Linked DNA regions of Tamandua tetradactyla. The protein of the gene in region 1 interacts with the protein of each later gene in a pairwise test. Links are inferred from orthologs where the notes say so. Each region holds a gene or a part of one and is shown on either strand. Other genes may lie near its edges.

Region 1 (9,606 bases):
CGTGAAACAGGACCAGCTGGAAAGGAGGCTGTCCACACCCTTGCCCATATTTTTAACAGAAGACAGTGCGACGACTGGTCTCTACCAGTGATTATCGCTTTATTTTTTTAATGACAAAACCAAAAAGAGACACAGGAGTAGAGAGCTGGGTGCCAGATCACTTGGAACCCTGGCTCTTTACCCCTGCACACAGCCCTGTGGCCTCTTCCTGCCCTGTCTTAGGCCGAGCCAGCTGTGTGTCTGCCCTAAGGCTGTGGGACAGGCAGGGGCATGCGGTGAGGGTGATGGGGCTGTCCTTTCCTTTCTCTTCCTGCCCTTGCTCCCCTAGGGTGACCCATTTCTTTGGGGGAGGGGCCAGTAGAGCCTCTGGGCAGCAGATGGGGAGGTAAGGACCTGGAATGGATATATGTGCTGATTGTTATAAGATTATTAGAGATAATTAAACAGAATGCTCAGCCTTATGTGGTCCTGGCTCCTGGATATTTCTCCCTGCCTCCCCCTCTCCCAATTCATCACTCTAGACTTGGGCCCAGCTAGGTCTCCTCCATCTCATCTTTGCCCTCTAAGGGTGAACTCCTCCTACTCAGAACCCAACCTGTCTTTGGGAGCTGAGGCTAGACTCCCACTGGGAGACCTGGCCAAGGTTAGGTAATCGAGTGGGAGACAGCTATTTCTGGACTTCTGATCTGTTATTTAAGGGTGTTCGGGGGTGCTGACTGGGCCATGAGCTGGTGCCCCCTCCTCTGACCTTGGAAACCCAAAGCCGGGTCTTAGCATCAGGCTTGGCTAGGTCTAGCTGGAAGAGGTCAGGAGAGGGAGGTAGCTGTGGGGTCAGATTGGATTCTTTATAAAAATCTCTCCAAGGAAGTAGTTTAGCCATAGTAGCAGCCGGGGAAGAGAGGCCTGCCAATGACCTCTTTATTCCACCCTCATATACCCAGGCCCCAGGTCCTGGCAGCACTTCAACTGGGCATTTGGGCCTGGCTGGAGTTGAGCCTCCGCAGCTGGCTGAGGCTGGCGAGCCGAAGTTTGAGTAGCGTCTCCTCCTGAGTGCTCAGTGTGTGCGCCAGCATGCGCAGGGATTCACTCTGCAGCACTGCAGATGAGCGGCAGGGGTTGGGGGTGGTTGTCAGGCCATGTGCTACCCAGTGACCCCTCCCTACTCGACCCAGCCCAGCACCAGGGGCTGCCTAGGAATCCCCCCCCCCCCCACTGCCGCTGCCTGAGCAGCTGTACCCTCCAACTGCACATAAAGGCCTGCAGGTCCCACTTCCTTCCCCTTGGTGCCCACTGGTGCCACACGCCTTCCATACCGCTCAGGTAGACGGCCAGGACGGCGAGCGCCAGGCAGGTGAGCACCAGCAGCATGAGCAGCAGCAGGAACCCCCGGCGGCCGTGCACAGGGCTGCAGCCCGCCTGGGTGCACAGGGATGGGGGCAAGACCCCCAGCAGCTCGTCCCATGGCCGCGCCTCCTCGGCCAGGAAGGGATGCAGTGAGCCTGCAGGGCAGATGGGACATGGGGGGTTGGCAGTGGGTGTGCCTGCTTTCCTCCCCTCCCCCAATGCATCTTCCCCCCCCGCCCCCCGCACCTGCCGCCCTCACCTCCGCTGTGTAGGTCGCTGATGGACTCTACCCGGTGCAGGCACACCTCCTGCAGGTGGTTGGGGGCCAGTGTCGCCCTGCTCCTGGGGCTCAGTGTCGGCACCATGATGTCTGCAGGGGCAGCAGGGGGCAGACTCAGCCACAATTCACCCCTTTCCTCCTCCCCAGGGGACCTCGGGCATGATGGAGACAGTGGGGCGTTTGGCTATGAATTGCCTAAGATGGACTCAGGGGTGACCCTTAGTTGAGTGCCTGGGTGACCCCAAACTTCCATTGGCAAGAGGCCCGTTTACATTCCTCATATTTGTTTCCCTTTGGACGCCTCAAGGATTTTCTCATGTTCCTTTGCTTGCTCATTTCTACTGCATAGTTTATCAACCTTGCAGGACTTCAACCACAGTGCATGGAATTTAGTCCTGCTTCTTCTATTGTTTTTTTCCTGCAGGCCCTGTAGGTTAGCTGTCAGGCCAGACCCAGTGCCTGGCACCTCCTCTGCCCCATGCAAAGGCAGCCCCCCTCAAGCCTCTGTGATGCCTTTCCCTCCTGGCCTAGTTCTGCATTCTTTAACCTACTCAGTGCAGGATTGTGCTGTACTTAGGTGAACCCCTCTGTTCACTCACCATCCTGGCAGGAGAGCACTCTTTGTTATCAGACTCACATGCCCTGAGCTCTCTCTTCAGACATCGCTTTGAGGCTGCCTGGACTTTAAGGTTGTTTCCAATTCCTTTTGGATGTCCCAGAACAACATCCATCATTGAGCATGAAGGTTTTCCCCCAATTTCTCAATAGTTAGTAAGGATAAATTCCCAGAAGTAGAATTACTGGATCGAAGGGCAATGGCTGGCTGTGCTCCAGAATGACTGGCCGGAACCCTCAACAGGGTAGAGATAGCATCGTCAGCATTAGGCATCCCCGTTGAAAGAAATGTTTGCATACACAAGCACATGTTTGTGACTTCGAGAAAAGAGAAAAGGCCTTTCTTAGTATTTGAGTTTCTTTGTCCAGGGGGCCTGGTCATTATTATGTTTGTGGCTTCCTGATCAGGAATTATCTATTCAAAGCCTCTATGAATTTAGTCAACTGAGGTCTGTGTATTTTTCTTATAACTTGAATTATTTTTGGATCCATAGAAGTGTTTATTTTGTGATTTCTAAGTATTTCATTCTGTTTTTTTTTTATTATTGCTCTTTTTGGATTTTTTTTTTTTTAAGCTTTTTAATCTTAGGCCTTTGAGACCTCCAGATGTCCAGCTAAAAGCTAGGTAGTGTAAGGAGAGGGCAGGCAGTGGTTCATTGGGAAAATAACCACTCTGGGAATAGGGGTACCTGGCGCACTCCAGAGCTTACTCTCAGAACAGTAGCTCAACATTTGATTAGTTTGAAAACTGCCCATTGAAATGCCCAAAAGCAAGTTAACAGAAACAGACTGTGCCAGTCATTATGTCTGAGAGGTGGGTTGGGGGTCATGTTAAATTCTCTTTTCACGTTGCTTTTCTCACACTTTCTAAAAGAAACATGGATTCTGTTTGTTACCAGGAGGAACACATGGTAAATGCTATTGTTATGACCCCAAAATGAGGCAGACATTACCCTCTCACCAGGGGCCAGGCACCTCCTATCCTTTTGAAAATGGATGAAAATCTATGCAGGGGTGGGAAGGGGGTAGTTGACCAGCTGGATCAAACTGAGCCATAAGCTAGAGCCATGATGCATCTGGTCCTGCATCCTGGCTGGCACCTCACCTGAAGGAAGCTGCACACGTGTGTCCTTAGTGCTCAGCCTCTCTAAGCCTCCATTCCTCTTGCATGCAGTGGGACAGCTAGGTGAGTGACCACTAAGGACTTAACTAGCTGAGTCAATCCGGCCAGCCAAGGGACCCTGACTGTCAGTGAGTTGAGGACACTGAGATCCAAGTTGGGGGAAGACAGAGGCCTGTCTATGCCTAGCCCCCCAGCCAGGTACCCATGTGCTTCCTGCAAACACTGCCTACCTTCAGCCCCAGCTTTCTCCCTGAAGGAAGAGCTGAACTGCCTGGATGCCTAAACCCGCTTGGACATAGCCCATAGCTGACCTGCCCCCAACTGGGCAGTCCCCCTAATCCTTCCCTGCTGTTCCCACCAAGGGAAGCTGAGGCAGGGCCTATGATGAGGAGGGGTTCCAGGCATGGTGTGCCCCCCCTCTATCACAGAGACAGGTCCCTTTACTCAAGCTGGGACATGGACACTATGACCTGCCAAGGAAGTGAAGTCAGTAGGGCAGGGGTGGGTTTCTCCACGGTTCACAGAGTCACAGGACAGAGTCCTTGCCCTCCCCTCGTGGACACCCTCCTACCTTCTTGCGCCTCCTCAGGCATGGTACGCAGTTGGAGCCGGTGACTGTGTCCAGTAGCAGGACTGGATGGAGACAGCAGTGGCTCCTGAGAGCCTAGGGAAGGCCTGGCCTCCTCCCAGTAGGGGCTTAAAATAGGCCTGAGCTCAGCCCACCAGGCTATATTTAGACAGGGCAGCTCTCAGTCCTGGGAAGTGGCAGAGTGACTGACATGGGCCAGCCTAGACTATCCTCCCAGTGAAGGAGCCCAGGCCAGGCACGCCTCCACTAGTGCATGTACCCAGGTCCTTTTCAGAAATGTACACCATCCTATACATGCACGGGCTCCAGAGACTGCATCCAAACTGGCTGCCTCTAGGGCTCAGCCTCCAGCAATGCCCCCACACAACAGCCAAGACATGCAAGGGAACTCTGTGCATCTCCACCCTGCAAACCTCCACCCACAGCACACTGGTACTCCCCCAGCAAACATGCAACAAACAACCTCCACCATGTCCCTATAGTAGAGCAGGGGCTGAAGGCAGCTGGTCTCTGAGGAACCACAAGGGGGCAGAGATTCCCCACATATACGGATATCCATGCTGCGCAGTCCGCATATCTAGATTGAAAGCTGGAACTGCTATTAGTTTATAAACTTGAGTAAAGGAGCCACCCTTTCTAGCCTTTGTGTATCTCTCCTTCCTAACTAGTAGAAACCCATAGGCTCTACTTCCTAAAGCATGTAAAATCTATCACTCCACTGTGTCACACAGCAGCTTTAACAATGGCAAGTTCATTTCTACCGCACAACCTTTGCACTAGCTGTTCCTTTCTTCTGGAATGCTCTGCCCCAAATATCCCCTTGGCTGGGTCCTTGTCATTAAGCTCAAATGTCACCCTTCAGTGAGGTCTTCTGTTCACACTCTTCCACAATACTCAGTTTTATTTTCTTCATAGCACTTAGCCATGAAATTATGTTATTCAGCATATACTGTATCCCCAAAGGCCCTGCAGAACCTGCTTGGTCACATGGAAACACCTTTAATTCTCACCAGGCATCCTTGGACAGAAGGAAAAGCTGAGATTGGTGGGAAGATGACCAAGGCCACATAGTAAGTACTAGGACGAGAGGCTGCCCACTGGGGCCAGTGTAGCTTTGGCTGATAATATGTTTATTGCATTGTTTTAGTACAGTCGGCCTGTCCCACCCCTGTCCCCAGCAGCCTGGCCTATTCACAGCTTCCTGCTGGCTGCTCAAGAAGGGGTCTCCCAGGGTGGGCACAACAGACACCTCCCCAGCCCTTGTGGCTGGTTCTAACCAGCCCCGCTTGTCTACCCCCTCCTGACTTGCCAGACTCAGCACCCAGCCTGGGCCACGCCTCCGGGGCTACATTCAAGGGTTTTTTATCATCTGTTAATAAATAAGCCTGTGCAGCTGCCCCTCGGCCAGAGCCTGTCGGTGTTGCAGTCGGCTGGAATCCACAGTGACCCCAGCCCAGATCTGTCCTTCTCCGCGTCCCAGGGCCTATCCTTCCCCTCTCCCGCCCTGCAAGTCCTCGGCATGGAAATGCCCATGTCATCAATGGGCCGCGCTGCGTGGCCCCCGTTCCGCGCGCTGCTCGGGGCTGTGAGTCCTCCGGTTGCGGCCTTTCCTCCTCGATTCCGGGGATGGCAGACGCTGCGCGGGCGGTGAGCGACACATGCGCAAGGAGCTCGGGCCGCCGCCACCGGGCTCCACCAGCTGCAGGAAGTCTCGGTACCAGAGCTTGGGGCCCGGCAGCGCAGCGGGCACAGCCTCCTCGGGCCGTGCTAACTGCTCGGCCTGCGCGGAGCTCAGCACGTGCAGTGACAGGCGACGCAGAGGCTGCGAGAAGCCCTGCTCTACCGCCGCGCAGAGGTACAGTCCTGAGTCCCCGCGCCGCAGCCTGCGCAGTAGCAGCCCCTGCGCCGTACGCTCGGCGCGATCCTCGGCGGGTACCTGCGGGTGGGGCGGATGTGAGGCTGGGGCGTCGGTGCCCGGAAGAGGGATCCCCATCGGAGAGAGGAACAGAGAGGCATAGGGACATCAGGGGCCGAGCGGGAGAGGGCAAAGCGTGCCCGCAGGTGCACACTTGAAGGCTGATGGGCACGGTTCACCTGAACGTAGGGGGCTACGTCAAAGACCTCAGTGGACGGGTCTACCAGGAGCCTAGTTGGAAGGAACGGGTCCTCACCCGGATGTGAGGGGCAGGTAAGGGACCAAATTGGACGCGACGCGTATGGGGCCTAGACGGGTGGAACTTCGCCTACATGGGGAAGGCAAATCAAGGGCCTCATTAGGCCTGGAAGGGCCTCTCGTAGATGTGGGTGACGGAACAGGGAGCCGGTTGGGAGGGGTGGAGTGAGGCTCACCTGGGTGTGGACCGCCTTCCCCACACTCTGGAAAGTCCATTCCACGCGCGCCTGCAGCGAACGGGGCTCACACTCCAGGAAGGCGCTGCCGCCCTCCACGCCAAACACTTTCCGTTCCAGCAGTGCCGGGCGGGACAGGTCTGGGGCAAGGGAAGGGTCCGATTCAGGCCCCGCAAGGCCGAGAGGGTCTGAAGGATAAGGGCCCCGGGACACTCACCCCCGGAACACAGCGTGCTGGGGTCGCCGTTCCTTATGTCTTGCCGCCGGAACCTCCTGAGGGGAAAGTGGAAGGCAGTGAGTCCTTCTTCCATTCCTGGCCACGAAAGACCCTCCAGCTCCTGCCCGGAGGTCCGCCCCCATCCCCGTCCCCGTCCCCGCCCACCTCTTGGCACTGGGCTGGAAGCGCGTGCAAGTGGCCCCATCCCAGGCGCAGTAGGGGTCACGCGCCAGGCAGCATTCGGCGCAGGCGCGGCCGTGGGCGGCGCAGCGGTGGAGCGCGATCTGGGCCACCGCGCTCCGCGAGGCTACGTACAGCTGGTGCTGGGGGCGGCACAAGGGGCTCCGCGCTGACCGAGGGCGGCCCTGCACCCGCCTCCCACCAGTCAGAGATCCTCCCCGCTCTTAACGGTTGGGAGCACTGAGGTCTCACTTAGGTTACGCAGTGTAGGGAAGGCAGAGCCTACTCTAGAGTCTGGGGCTGCGGACTACCAAGGGAGGCTTGAGAGGTGGGGGCTCCCCGGGCACAAGCTCAGTCCATCCCACACACATCCTTGTGGTCACTCACCCTCTTGGAAGAGATCTGCATGCTGGTGACAGCGGCAGCATCCTAAGAGGGAGAAGGGGTGGGGGGGATCAGGCCTCAGTGGGTTGGGGGGGCCTAGGAGGACTTAGAGCAAGACCTCACCTCAAACACATGCAGCTCCTCCAGGAGCAGGCCCTCTGCGCTCGGCCTGCCACCTTTGGGGACCGAGATCACTTTCAGCACTGTGCCTGCATCTGGAGGGATGAGAAGGGGTGAGTGCTCCCTGGTGTTCCCTGCTAGCCAGGGCAGGGGCTTCAGAGGCCTGGCCCTTAGTACGGCTGGATCTGTGGAGGGCGTGAGCTGGAGCAACCAAGGCAGCAGCCAGGAGGAGAAGGAAACACAGCCCAAAGGTTATGGAGGTGGAACTGAACAGGAAGAGCTTCTACTGCCAGGCCAAGGAGCCTGAATGAGAGCCTATGGGTGGGCGTGGCAGGGCCCGCACCTGTGCCAATGAAGAGGACGTCATAATGTCCATCGGCAGCGGCCACACGGTCAGCGGCAATCTGGGTGAAGGTGTATCCAGCACCCACTTGCAGGAAGAGAGGGCGCCCTGCCATGGGCAGGACTGAGTTGTACATGAGAGGGTGGGTCCGGGCAAACTGGATGACATCATCTGGGAAGTCCTTGGTAGAACTGAAGGTGCCAAAGGTCTTGCTGGGACACTGGACAGGGGGACACAGCAGGGGTGTGGGTATGGGGGCCTGGTGGGCAGCCCCTCATGAAGGTCTACAGGGGACTTGGGAGGGGGGGTGGGGGAAGAGAGAGACCTGCCCTGGGCATGTGAGAGAGGATATCCAGCCCTGCCCTGGGGTGCTGAGGGGAAAAGCATGGCCCACCCCTGAGGAGCTCTGGTGACATTGACCTTTTCCGACCCTTATCAAAAAGAGGCAAACACATTCACCAAGAAGACCCTGGGCTGAATTCTCCAGCCCTGAGGCTTTGGAGTCGGTTGTGGCAGGAGTCCCTGGCCCACGCACCATGCCAGGTCGGGGATAGGGGACGCGGCCCTGGTAGGACACCCACTGGTGCATGGGACCTTCCTTGTGGGCAAAGGGTCCCAGGAAAGCCCGGCGCACGTCGTTCATGCTGTACACACACACGGCTGAGCCCTGGAAGACTCCGCTGCAGGCAAAGACCAGGGCAGGGACAGGGGGCGTGGGTTTGAACCTAGCCCAGCCCATCTGGCCCCTGGTGCCCTCTAGCACCCCACCCCAGAGCCCCTCACTACCCAGACCTGGACGTGGTGAAAACAGCATAAAGCAGAGGGCTTCGGCGGTCCCGCGAGGGCAGAAGGAACACATCTTCTGCAAGGAATGGGCTTGGTTGAGGGAGGGCGCACAGCTGGGCTGGGCAGGCCCTACTCAGGGGGTCTGCACCCCCGCCCTCCACTCCCCACTCATTCCCCACTCCGGGCACTCACGGAGCTGATCGAAATGGGTGTCGCCCTCAGCACCAGGTATCGAGCACACCAGACGCGCCTTCAGAAACGTTGTCCACTTGTTGACCAGGCTGCGCTGGCCACCCACATCATTCTGTGGGGTTGAGCAGAGGGGATAAGCGCGGGCCGGGTGGGAAAGCGGGTGGGGCTGGGTGGTACAGCACGGTCCGGCGACTCCTCACCCGGCAGATCTGACCGACGCGGGACACAGAGAGGCGTCCTAGTGCCGGCGCCGCCTCCACCGCAGACTCACGGAAGAAGAAGTAGATCTTGTCATCGTCCGGGTTCTCGCTCTCTGGGATCCAAAAGACCTTGACGAACTTGGGCTCTGGCAGCAGTAAGAGGCACAGGGTCAGGGAGTTCTGGCCCCTCTCCACCTCCGTTATGGGACCCGCCTGCTGCCCATCCACCCCCAGGTGCCGGCGGGAGTCCTGGGAGCAGCATCTTCGGGGCAGCCCGGGAACCCACCCAATCCAAAGGGGCAGGGCCTGCAATGTACGCGATAGCCACGAGGGGGAAGCAGAGACCGTGGCTCCCTGTGCAAGCGGAAGGGGACCCCAGGAGGCCAAAGATTTAACCCTTTTCTGTTCCCCAGGTCTAAGGGCCAGGAAAAGAGGGAGGTGGAGAGTCCAGTTTCTACTTCAGTCATGAATCCCCCTCACCAGGAAGTCCACTCTGCTTCAAAGCTTCCCTTTCCATCCCATTGTTCCTAGAATAAACTACCCTGGCCCCTCACAGTCCTGGTCCTTTACCCCTGCTCCTTCCAAGAGTCTGTCCCTGCCTCGGGGCCTTTGCACTAACCATTTCCTCTGCCTGGAATGTTCTTCCCTCAGTTCTCCTGTATGGCTCTCTTGTGCTTTGGGAGTTAGTTCACACTCCCCCTTAGCACACTCCTCCAACTTCTTTCCCCTCCTCTCTGTTCTCTCCTTGGCCCCATGGCCACTGGAACTGATCTTATGTGTTTGTTATGAAGTCTCTGTGCTCACCAGGGCACAGATCACACCTGTCTTGTCTGCCTGGGTCCCCTGGCTTGGGGCCTGGTGCCTGGTAGGTATTCAGTGAGAAA
Region 2 (9,716 bases), on another chromosome or scaffold:
AAGGACTCCTTAAACTAATTTAGACTGCTTCGAATGGGTGGGCCACTTCTCTGCGGGAATAATCTAATCAAAGGGTCCCACCCACATGTGTCTGCACCCACAAGATTGGATTAAAAGAGCTTTGCTTTTCTGGGGTATATAAGTTTGAAACTGGCATAGAAACCCAAGTGCTAATAACTGAAATAATAAAAATTCAGCATCTTTATGAGTTGACTGATACTTGAATCCTTTCTATAGCCCTATAACTTCCTCCTCAGTTTAGAAACCTTTAGGGGATAAGATACAGGGCTGAAGTGAGCTCAGGATAAAGGCTTTCTCACTCCGGAGAATACTAAACTCCTTTGCAATTACTTTTGGTTTGCTAGGTAAGAAATATTTCTTGACTTAAAAATGTAAATTTCTTTAGTTATTTCTATCTGATATAGCAACATGTCCTAGATTTTCTGGATTAGACCTGATTGCAGATTTTCTCTTTTGATGCATCCTGGATAATAAATGATAAGGGTCAACAGGACCTGACAGACCCCAGTGAGCCCATCAGCTTAGGCCAGCCTCAGCATGTAGCAGTGATTATTCTGAGAAAGACACAAGTGAAATCTCAACTTGCACCAGATTTAAACAGGCCTCTTGTCCAAGTATCGTTCAGGCACTGCTAAAAATGAAAGTCCTCTGATTATTTCATACTCCAGTTCTATAGTGATATACTTTCTCAAGCCTTACCCACCTCCCTCCTCTCTGTCCCAGGATTAAAGTTTTTCTTCCCTTTTACTGTTTCTGCAGCCTCTGCTACAACACACTTGATGAAGAAATACCTATTCTGAGAGCTTTGCTAAGTGTTCTTTTCTCTTTGTTTTTACTGAAACCTAGCTTTCAGGACCCCCCTTCCATGGATCTTTTAAATGAAGGTTGTTTGACACAGAGGAGAATTACACAGTTTATCTTTTGCATGCTGCTGCTGCACCATTTCTCTTAATCCAAAAAAAATCCCCCTTGAAACTCATTCATTCCTCAAATCAGCAAGCTTTGACAAAGTTAGGTGCTTCCACGTACACAATTTTCTTATTTCAGTTCCATGCCAGCTCTTAAGCAATAGCACTGTTTTTTTAAGGAAAAATGGGGACAAAAGAAGTAAAGAATAGCAAGTAGCAAAGCTGGAATTTGAACCCACTGTACTGTGCTTTCTTTCAGCAGGGCTAAATGCTGTAGATGGGTCAAGTAAGACAGAGTCAGAAATATCTATTGGAATTTTCAAGAGGTTGTTGGTGACCTAGCAGTTTCAGTGGCATGATGGGATAAAAGCCAGATGAAGTCGATTAAAGAGTGAATGGGAAGTGAAGAAGTAGTGAATGGTGTGCGTCAACCACTCTTTTTTTAAAAAGCTTATCTGTAATGGGCAGGGGAACATACCTGTTGATAGCTGGAGCATGGTGCTAGATTGTGGGAGATATTAAGAGAGAGCCTGTGGGAGAAGGAACCATAAAAAAAAATATGGTATAGGTATGGATATCACCATTTTACAGGCAATGGAACAGATTAAAGAAATCACATTTCTTGTCAAAGTCACAGGCAGGGTGAGTGGATATCCATGTAATTCTAGAATTTATGTTTTTTCCAATCATTATATACTGTGTCTGCTGGAAGCGAAAGGGACTGAGTAGATGTGGGGTAGGCAGCTAGAATGGTCTTGCCCCTTCACCTTTCTTGAAGGCTCCATCACCTTTCTGTTGTCTCTGTCTAGCAGCTATTCCCTTTCTGCTTGTTCTTCCATATTCATGATTTCATCAAAGAATTGAGCAGCCGGTTTTCTTTTCGTACCCAAGTTCCATGACCTTTCTGGGTGGTTTTACGCATTTGGAAAACCATATCCTCTATTTGTTCTAGAGACTGTTACTTCCATTTCACTTGGACCACTCTCTCATAGTTATACCTTAGGAATTGTTTTCTGGCAGAATTTTCAACTCTGAAATCTTTAACTCTGATGTGACTTCTCTTTTTCTTAATAATCCTACTCCTTGGCCTCTTGGAGATTTCTAGTGGCTGGGACCCTATATGACTCTTGAAGTTTGTCAAGTGCTGTTGAAATTCTTTTTAAAAAGTCACAGCAGTGTGGTTTTGCCATTACTATGTATCCAAACTCAGTTGTGCCTTTAAGTCTGCCACAATCAGACAAATTCTGTACCCTTACGTATAGAATGGCACCTTTAATAAATCTGTACATATCTCAGGTATGGAGGTTTCACTTGAAACCATGTTGTTAATTCATCTTAACATTTATATGTCTATTTAGAAATTGTGTTTACCTAAATTCTTCTCTTTGGGCCGTTTTATTACTTCCTATAATTTTGATTCTTTTGTTGACTAGGAACGAGATTTTCCAACAGAAACTGTTAAATTTGGTCCTGAACGCATGTATATTGATTGCTGGGTAAAAAAACATACCTATGATACTTTTAAGGAGGTTCTTGCATCTGGGATGCAGTATCACTTGCAGGTAAATGAGTGACATACTTTCTATTTTTGCTTTTAAATTAGGAAGCAGTTTTGAATGTCATTTAATTGGCTTTTGAATATCCAGAAAACAGTACCATAAATCTGATTTTGAAAGTAAAACTGAATAAATATGAAAGTGAATTTTTTGTTTTTTTAGTTGTGTAAGTCTGATGGACCACCTTTAATTTAAACCTCTGCTATTGATGTCCTTATGTAAAAGCAAATAGCTTGGCATAGCTTTCTTGGATTCAAGGCATTGAAAGCAATTTGGTCCCATACTGAAAAACAGGAAATAAGTGAGCTTAGCCTAGTCCATATTTGAAGGTTCCACATAACTTCTTTGAGTCAGATTCTCTTTATGTATTGAAAAGTCCTATGATATTTAATACTGAATCTTAGCACCTTTTTCTGTTTTACATAAGTCAAATGAATTCCTTCGCAATGTATTTGAACTTGGACCCCCGGTGATGCTTGATGCTGCAGCTCTTAAAACAATGAAGATTTCTCGTTTTGAAAGGGTAGGTTTTTTTGTTGTTGTTGTTAGTTTTTTTTTTTTATTGGGTTTGTTTTTGACCAAAACTAAAGGCACCAAAGAAAAGTGGTGCCAAAGCTTTGATCCTACCAGGTGACAGGCATTCTGTCCAAATGTGAAATTCTAGTTTTTCATGATATTTGAAACATAGAATGGCTATACTGAAAATGCAGAAGCATTTAGATTGTGGGAGGTTTTCAATGAAAAAAATTTTACCCATGAATTCTATAATCTTAACACAGAAGTTATTTTTCATTTTTTTTTCCTTTTATTCAGTGGAGTTTTGATATTTAAATGTAAGTATTTATATAATATTTCTTTTGTATCAGATGTTGAGCCTACTTCATGTCTTCATTTCTAAAATCACTAAGTGATCAGAGTTTGTAACATTAAATAGTAATTAACATCATATTTTCACTTAATATTCCAAAAACTCATAAAAAAATTTTTGTTTTCTTAAATTGAGGTAATTTTCACATAACAAAATTAACCATTTGAAAGTGTACAGTTCTCGGTGGCTTTTAGTACATTCAGTGTTGTGCAATCATCACCTTTATTTTGTTCAAAAACGTTTTTATTACCTCAGAAGGAAATCCTGTACCCATTCAGCAGCCACGTCCCATTCCCTCCTGCCCCATCCCCTAGTAACCACTAATCTGCTTTCTGCCTCTAAATTTACATATTCTGGATAGTCATATAAATGGAGTTGACAATTAGGTGACTTTTTGTGTCTGGTGTTGTCCACTTAGCATGTTTTTGAGGTTTATCCATGTTGTAGCATGTATTAGTGCTTCATTCTTTTTATGGGTAATATTTCATTGTATGGCCATTCCACATTTTGTTTATCCAGCCATTAAGTTGATGGACATATGTATTGTTCCCACCTTTTGGTGATTGTGAATAGCACTGCTGTGAACATTCGAGTGCAAGTTTTAATTTGAGTTCCTGTTTTCAGTTCTTTGGGTATATATCTAGAGTGGAATTGCTGGATTATATGGTAATTCTGTGTTTAATTTAAACTTTTCCATAGTATCTGCACCATTTTACTTTCCTACCAGCAAGTTAAAGTATTCTCATTTCTCTACATCCTCCCCAACACTTTTTTTCCATAAAAAAAAAATTTCTTATGTCCATCCTGGTGAGTGTGAAATGCTTAATTACATTTTTATATTTGTAATAATTTTATGTCCACACAATTGATATTTAAAAACTCTTTTAAAATATTAACCTTTTTACATATTTGTTTTGTTTGAATTATTTCTTAGAAGAAATCCCCTGCATGGAATATAGGGCTCGATTGTAGTTTTTTGATATGTATTGGAAATTACCTTCCAAAGTTATTCTATAATTTTTAATGTCTCTAGCAATGAATGAAGACACGTGTATTACACACAGACTTGACAGCACTGGATTTTATAATTTTAAATATTTGATAAATAGGTATTAATATGACACCCCATCATTTTTTCCCTTTTTTTTCCTTTTGAAACATTTTGTTAAATTTGGTACATATGGGAAAGCAATTAGAAATATATAGCTCAACTCAAATCCCCTGTTGATTCAAGGAGGCAGCTTTATTTTATTTAAACACCTGGTCTTTATAATACTTTGTTTTAGTTGACAGCAGGCTGACCATTTTAATTCATATTGAGGCCCTTTATTTACGTTTTTCTTAATGTATTTGATTTTTTTCTTAGTATGGCATAGCCATTAATTGTTACATGTTTAAATTCCCACACTCAAATGTTGTTTTTGTGTGTATTTTACAAGCACTTTTTTCCCCACTAAGGCACTTTATATGCATGTATGTGTTACATCACTAGAAAAAAAAACACCCTGGATTTCCACCCACCCCCACCCATGTATTTTCCTCCTGCTTCCTCATGCTCCGTAATGCCAAGTGAGGTTGTCAGTACAATGAAACCGAACTGATGGGATGCAGAGCAGATTATTTGCCATTTTTCTTAATCTTTTGAGTTGTACATCAAATCTGGGATTGATCATTCCATACTTGTGTAACCTGCCTGTGAGGTCCACAATTTTCCCAGCTCTGGAATCAACAATGATTTCAAATTCCCCAGTGTAAACATGCTTCATCATCACAATTAGAAACTGGACAGTGACTTTGGTGCACAGCCTAAAAGGAACCTAGTGTTTGGCTGTTCTTGGCATTGTTAATGCTCTTGATGGCATCAGCCAGGACATTGAGACACACCATTATGGTGGTATGGAAGGATGGCCAGAAAGAGCATTTAAAATTTTTGTAGTGTCAAATTAGTGTTTGTTTCCTTCGTGATTTTTTTTTTCTCATTTTGTAGGAGTATAAGCCTCAGTGACCCACACGTATTTTCCTTTCTTCATTTCAGCATTTATATAACTCTGCAGCCTTTAAAGCTCGAACAAAAGCTCGAAGCAAATGTCGTGATAAGAGGGCAGATGTTGGAGAATTCTTCTAGATTTTCAGCACTTGAAGACTTTCTAATTTCCTTTTGAATTTTTTTTTGTTGTTAATTTCTAATGTATTTAAACTCTTGATAGTTTTTATCTTGGGATGAACATAGATAACTTGTAGTAGGGCTTATATTACTTATAATTTAATGTACAGTATTGCAAATGGTGAGTTCTGATTATTAAGTATTCTTTGTAAATAGAATCGGTAAACATGAATAAAGTGTTTGGTCATATTCTGTTTATGAAGAGAAAAAATCTTTTTTCATTTTATTTCTCATAATGTAAAAAGCTATTATAAAAGGTTAAATTTCTAATACTATAGTTGTCAGAAATATTGATTTATAATGATGTATACATACAAGGTATAAAATTATGATCTTAGACAAATGAGTTCTGGATACACTTTTTGGGAGCATGTTCCTCTGAGAAAGCTGCTGTATTTTAAATTTTAATTGGAACATAGTTATTTTAATTTTGTCACTGGGTTGGACAAAAGGAATTAGACCTTGAGTCCTTGCAGCTGCACTTAAAGGCAATTTCAGTTCACCTATTGGGAGTTCATGATGAATTAGCATATGCCGGAAAGGTTGCTAACCTTAATCTCCAAAAGCCGTTAATTACTAATTTTATCTGCTGTGCAAGACATTGTGCTCTTTACTTTAAAATAAAAGATCTTTTCACACTTAGAGTGTTTAGTTTTTAATAGAAGAAAAATATTATGGGTTTAACATAGAGCATTCAAAATGACCAAGCCAGGTAGGGAGGGGGTGAGACAAAATCTTCATTTGCATATCTGAAAACACATTAAAGTAGCTGAAAAAATGTAGCAATATGTAATTGGTATTCAAGTTACTGACTTAAGTAGCTGAAAAAATGTAGCGATATGTAATTGGTATTCAAGTTACTGACTTAAGGATGCTGCTGCTTGGTTTTCCCATGAGGTGTTTTTTTTTTTTCATTTTAAAGAAAGTTGTAAGCATGTTGACTGATTTAATTACTGATATTACTATTAAATTTGTATAGTACCAACAATATCTACAGTTGAGAATTCATAGACTTGTTTCTTTGATATTCTTACTGCAGAAAACAGTGATAGAGGGATGGAGTGAGGGGTAGAGAAGTAGGTACCTTTTAGAAAGAAGTAGCTAGGTATTTTCCAAACTAATGTTCTTCTCCCACGTCCCTAACTCCTGGAAGGTCTGATGTGTTCCCTGCGTGAAAATCTTTGGCTGGCTTATAGTCACTTGCTGATAGGAGGGTGAGTTTCATGTTTCGGTATAGTAGAATGGAAAACAGATTTGGAATTTCTGACTTAGGTTTGTGTGTTACCACCTCCTTATATTCCAAATAGGTTAGAACCATGGGAAGGAAATTGTGAAGTGTTTTTCTAAGTTTTAAAATACATATATGTATACATATTTTTGATAAAAATGAATTTTTGTTAATGAGATATACATGGTTCAATAGTACTTCAAGGCTTATAATGAAAAAAGTTAGCTTCCTGCCCATTTTTCTACTCACTCATTTCCATCCCAGGGGACATGTAGACTTCAAGTTTTTCTAGCATCTTGGTTTCAGGTTTCTAAATAACACGCTTATAGCTCTGTATTCTAGTTTGCAAGCTGCAGGAATGCAATATACCAGAAACAGAATGGCTTTTAAAAAGGGGAATTCAATAAGTTGCTTGTTTACAGTTCTAAGGCTGAGAAAATGTCCCAATTGAAACAAATCTATAGAAATGTCCAATCTAAGGTGTCCAGAGACAGATAACCTTGGTTCAAGAAGGCCGATGAAGTTCACAGTTTCTTTCTCAAGTGGAAGCACACATGGCAAACACAGAGTCTCTCTCATATGGAAAGGCACATGGTGAACATGGTCAGGGTTCCCCTTTCATCTGGAAGGGCACATGGCGAACACCCCGTCATCTGCTAGCTTCTCCTGGCTTCCTGTTTCATGAAGCTCCCCTGGAGGCATTTTCTTTCTTCCTCTCAAAAGGTCGCTGGCTGGTGAACTCTGCTTCTCGTGGCTATGTCTTTCTGCTCTGCTCTGAATCTCATTCTCCAGAATGTTTCCTCTTTTATAGGACTTCAAAAACTAATCAAGACGCACCCAAATGGCTGGAGACATGTCTTTTACCTAATCCAGTTTAACAACCACTCTTGATTAAATCACATCTCCAGGGGGGTGATCTAATTACAGTTTCAAACATACAGTACTGAATAGGAATTAGAAGAAACAGCCGCCTTTACAAAATGAGATTAGAATTAAAACATGGCTTTTCCAGGGTACATACATCATTTCAAACCAGCACACTGTATTTCTTAGTTTTTTTTACTTTTAGACATTTGTCAACTCCCTATGAAAATGGGGGTGAATTTGTCTTTTTAACCTTTCCCATCCTCAAAAAATTTTTATTTTCTGGTTAAATCAGCAGCTTTCTTTATATTACAACCATATTTATATGTTCACTCTTGAACTCGAGTGTTTACATTTCCATTCCTGTAAAACTACTTCTGGAGTTAACAATTGTCATCTTATTTCTTGGATTTATATGCACATCACTAATTCTTCTCTTTCTTGGATTTATACACACTTATCACTAGTTCAATCCAAACAGTCCCAAATAGATTTGTGAAACTTCTGATTCTGTTTTCCATGTTGTCAAACCCTTATAATATGTTTCCTTCTTCAGTCCAATTTCTCATCCTAGTGTACTTTTGTTTTCCTGAGATCTCACTTTATCCTGGGGGTTTGTTTTCCTCCCTTCATTTTTCCTTTCCCTTAGTTTGGATCCCACATTTCCTGGATCTTTGGTCTTCTCTGTTGATATGGAGCACTTATTTCATTAGCATTCTGGGAATTGATGCATGAGAGGGACAATTATTTATTTATTTTTTAATTAGAGAAGTGGGTTTACAAAACAATCGTGCATGAAATACAAGCTCCCTGTACACCACCCCAGCACCAACACCGTGCATTGGTGTGGATTATTTGCCACAACTGATACTACATTTTAACAACTGTACTATTAGATATTTTTAAACTTAATTTTTCTGAGTAACAGTTTGCCGGGTATAAAATTCTAGGTAAAAAAATCAAGTTTGGAATTTTGAAGACCTTGTTTCATTGTTTTCTAAAGAACAATAAAACAATAAATAAATAAAAACAAGAAATAAAAAACAGTAAAGTGATACTGAGATGCCTGATGAAATTTTTATTTCTAAATTCTAGTGATTTTTTTTCCTTTCTTGAAGTTCTTAGAGTCTATGTTCTAAAATTGCATGAAATGTGCTTTGGTGAGCTTTTTAATTCCTCCTCCATGCCCCCCGTCTCCAAGTTTTCTTTCTTTTGGAACTCCATGAAATTCATTCTTGTGGTTTTTGTAATTTTTAATACTAATCTGCCTTTTGGGAGGCAGAGGAGATAAGTGTTTTAATTGGCAACTCTGCTTAGTAAATAGAAATGGGGCCTTTTATTCACAAAGCTAAAGAAGATCGCTAGACAAAGATTATTGGGGATTCAGTGTTTAAGAATGCTTGAGGAAAAGAAAATGCATGAATTTTCTTGAAAGTAAGATTGGTGTGTGATAGATCAATTGTTTGCTTGATTTTTGGTTAATCTTGCTGGTTTGAAGGAATTTAAATGGTCCCTGCCTCATAAGCTTTTCATTTTGAGGCTCAAGATCAATTTTGAAGCAGTATTTGTGACTCGTCTTTGATGGCATTTACTGAATTTCCTGGGAGTTGAATCTAGATATGGCAAAATAGAATGTAAGAAATATTTGGAAATGTCCCCAGATTGAACATATGAGAATATTTTTGTCTGTGACCCAAGCTCTATCAAGTGCATAATAGCTAAAATGAGGTAGATTATCTTGCTTTGATCTTAAGTAGTTCTCCAGATGTCTAGTCACAAACTGTAAGTTTCTTGCCCCTCATGGGGTAAAAGTATGGTTGAATTCAGCTCTGCCACTTGCTACCTGTGTTTCTTCAGACAAATTCCTTAGTTCCCATTTTCCTCATCCCTAAAGAGGGGGTTAATACTTCAAAGATGTAAGATTACAACAGAGAAAAAACATGGGAAATGCTCAAAATGACGCTAATACTGCTTCAAAGGACAGATATTTTAAGACAGACCAGGTAGTTGAAAGATTCTTTTAACTGGCCATGATCATTAAAATAATAGCTAATACAAAAAAATTATAGTTAACATGAACATTTTCACTCTTCCGAGAAATTTGGCA

What was found.
Region 2: the proteins of LSMEM2 (region 1) and LSMEM1 interact in binary tests that used the Homo sapiens proteins (3 or more experiments, as listed by UniProt). The two-hybrid records come from large-scale screens. The link is inferred for Tamandua tetradactyla from reciprocal best matches to the Homo sapiens genes LSMEM2 and LSMEM1.

The regions. Positions count from the first base shown.
Region 1 is NC_135341.1:35,808,761-35,818,366, forward strand, and holds LSMEM2 (leucine-rich single-pass membrane protein 2), read right to left. Parts: upstream 4,038-9,606; 5' UTR 3,956-4,037; coding exon 3,934-3,955; intron 1,715-3,933; coding exon 1,604-1,714; intron 1,500-1,603; coding exon 1,314-1,499; intron 1,097-1,313; coding exon 963-1,096; 3' UTR 83-962; downstream 1-82. Other genes in the region: IFRD2 (interferon-related developmental regulator 2), read left to right, coding at 1-5; SEMA3B (semaphorin-3B), read right to left, coding at 5,489-5,887, 6,301-6,440, 6,518-6,573, 6,683-6,840, 7,085-7,126, 7,205-7,296, 7,545-7,764, 8,080-8,224 and 3 more.
Region 2 is NC_135327.1:151,802,811-151,812,526, forward strand, and holds the start of LSMEM1 (leucine-rich single-pass membrane protein 1), read left to right. Parts: upstream 1-5,822; 5' UTR 5,823-9,716. Other genes in the region: IFRD1 (interferon-related developmental regulator 1), read left to right, coding at 2,363-2,491, 2,913-3,008, 5,389-5,478.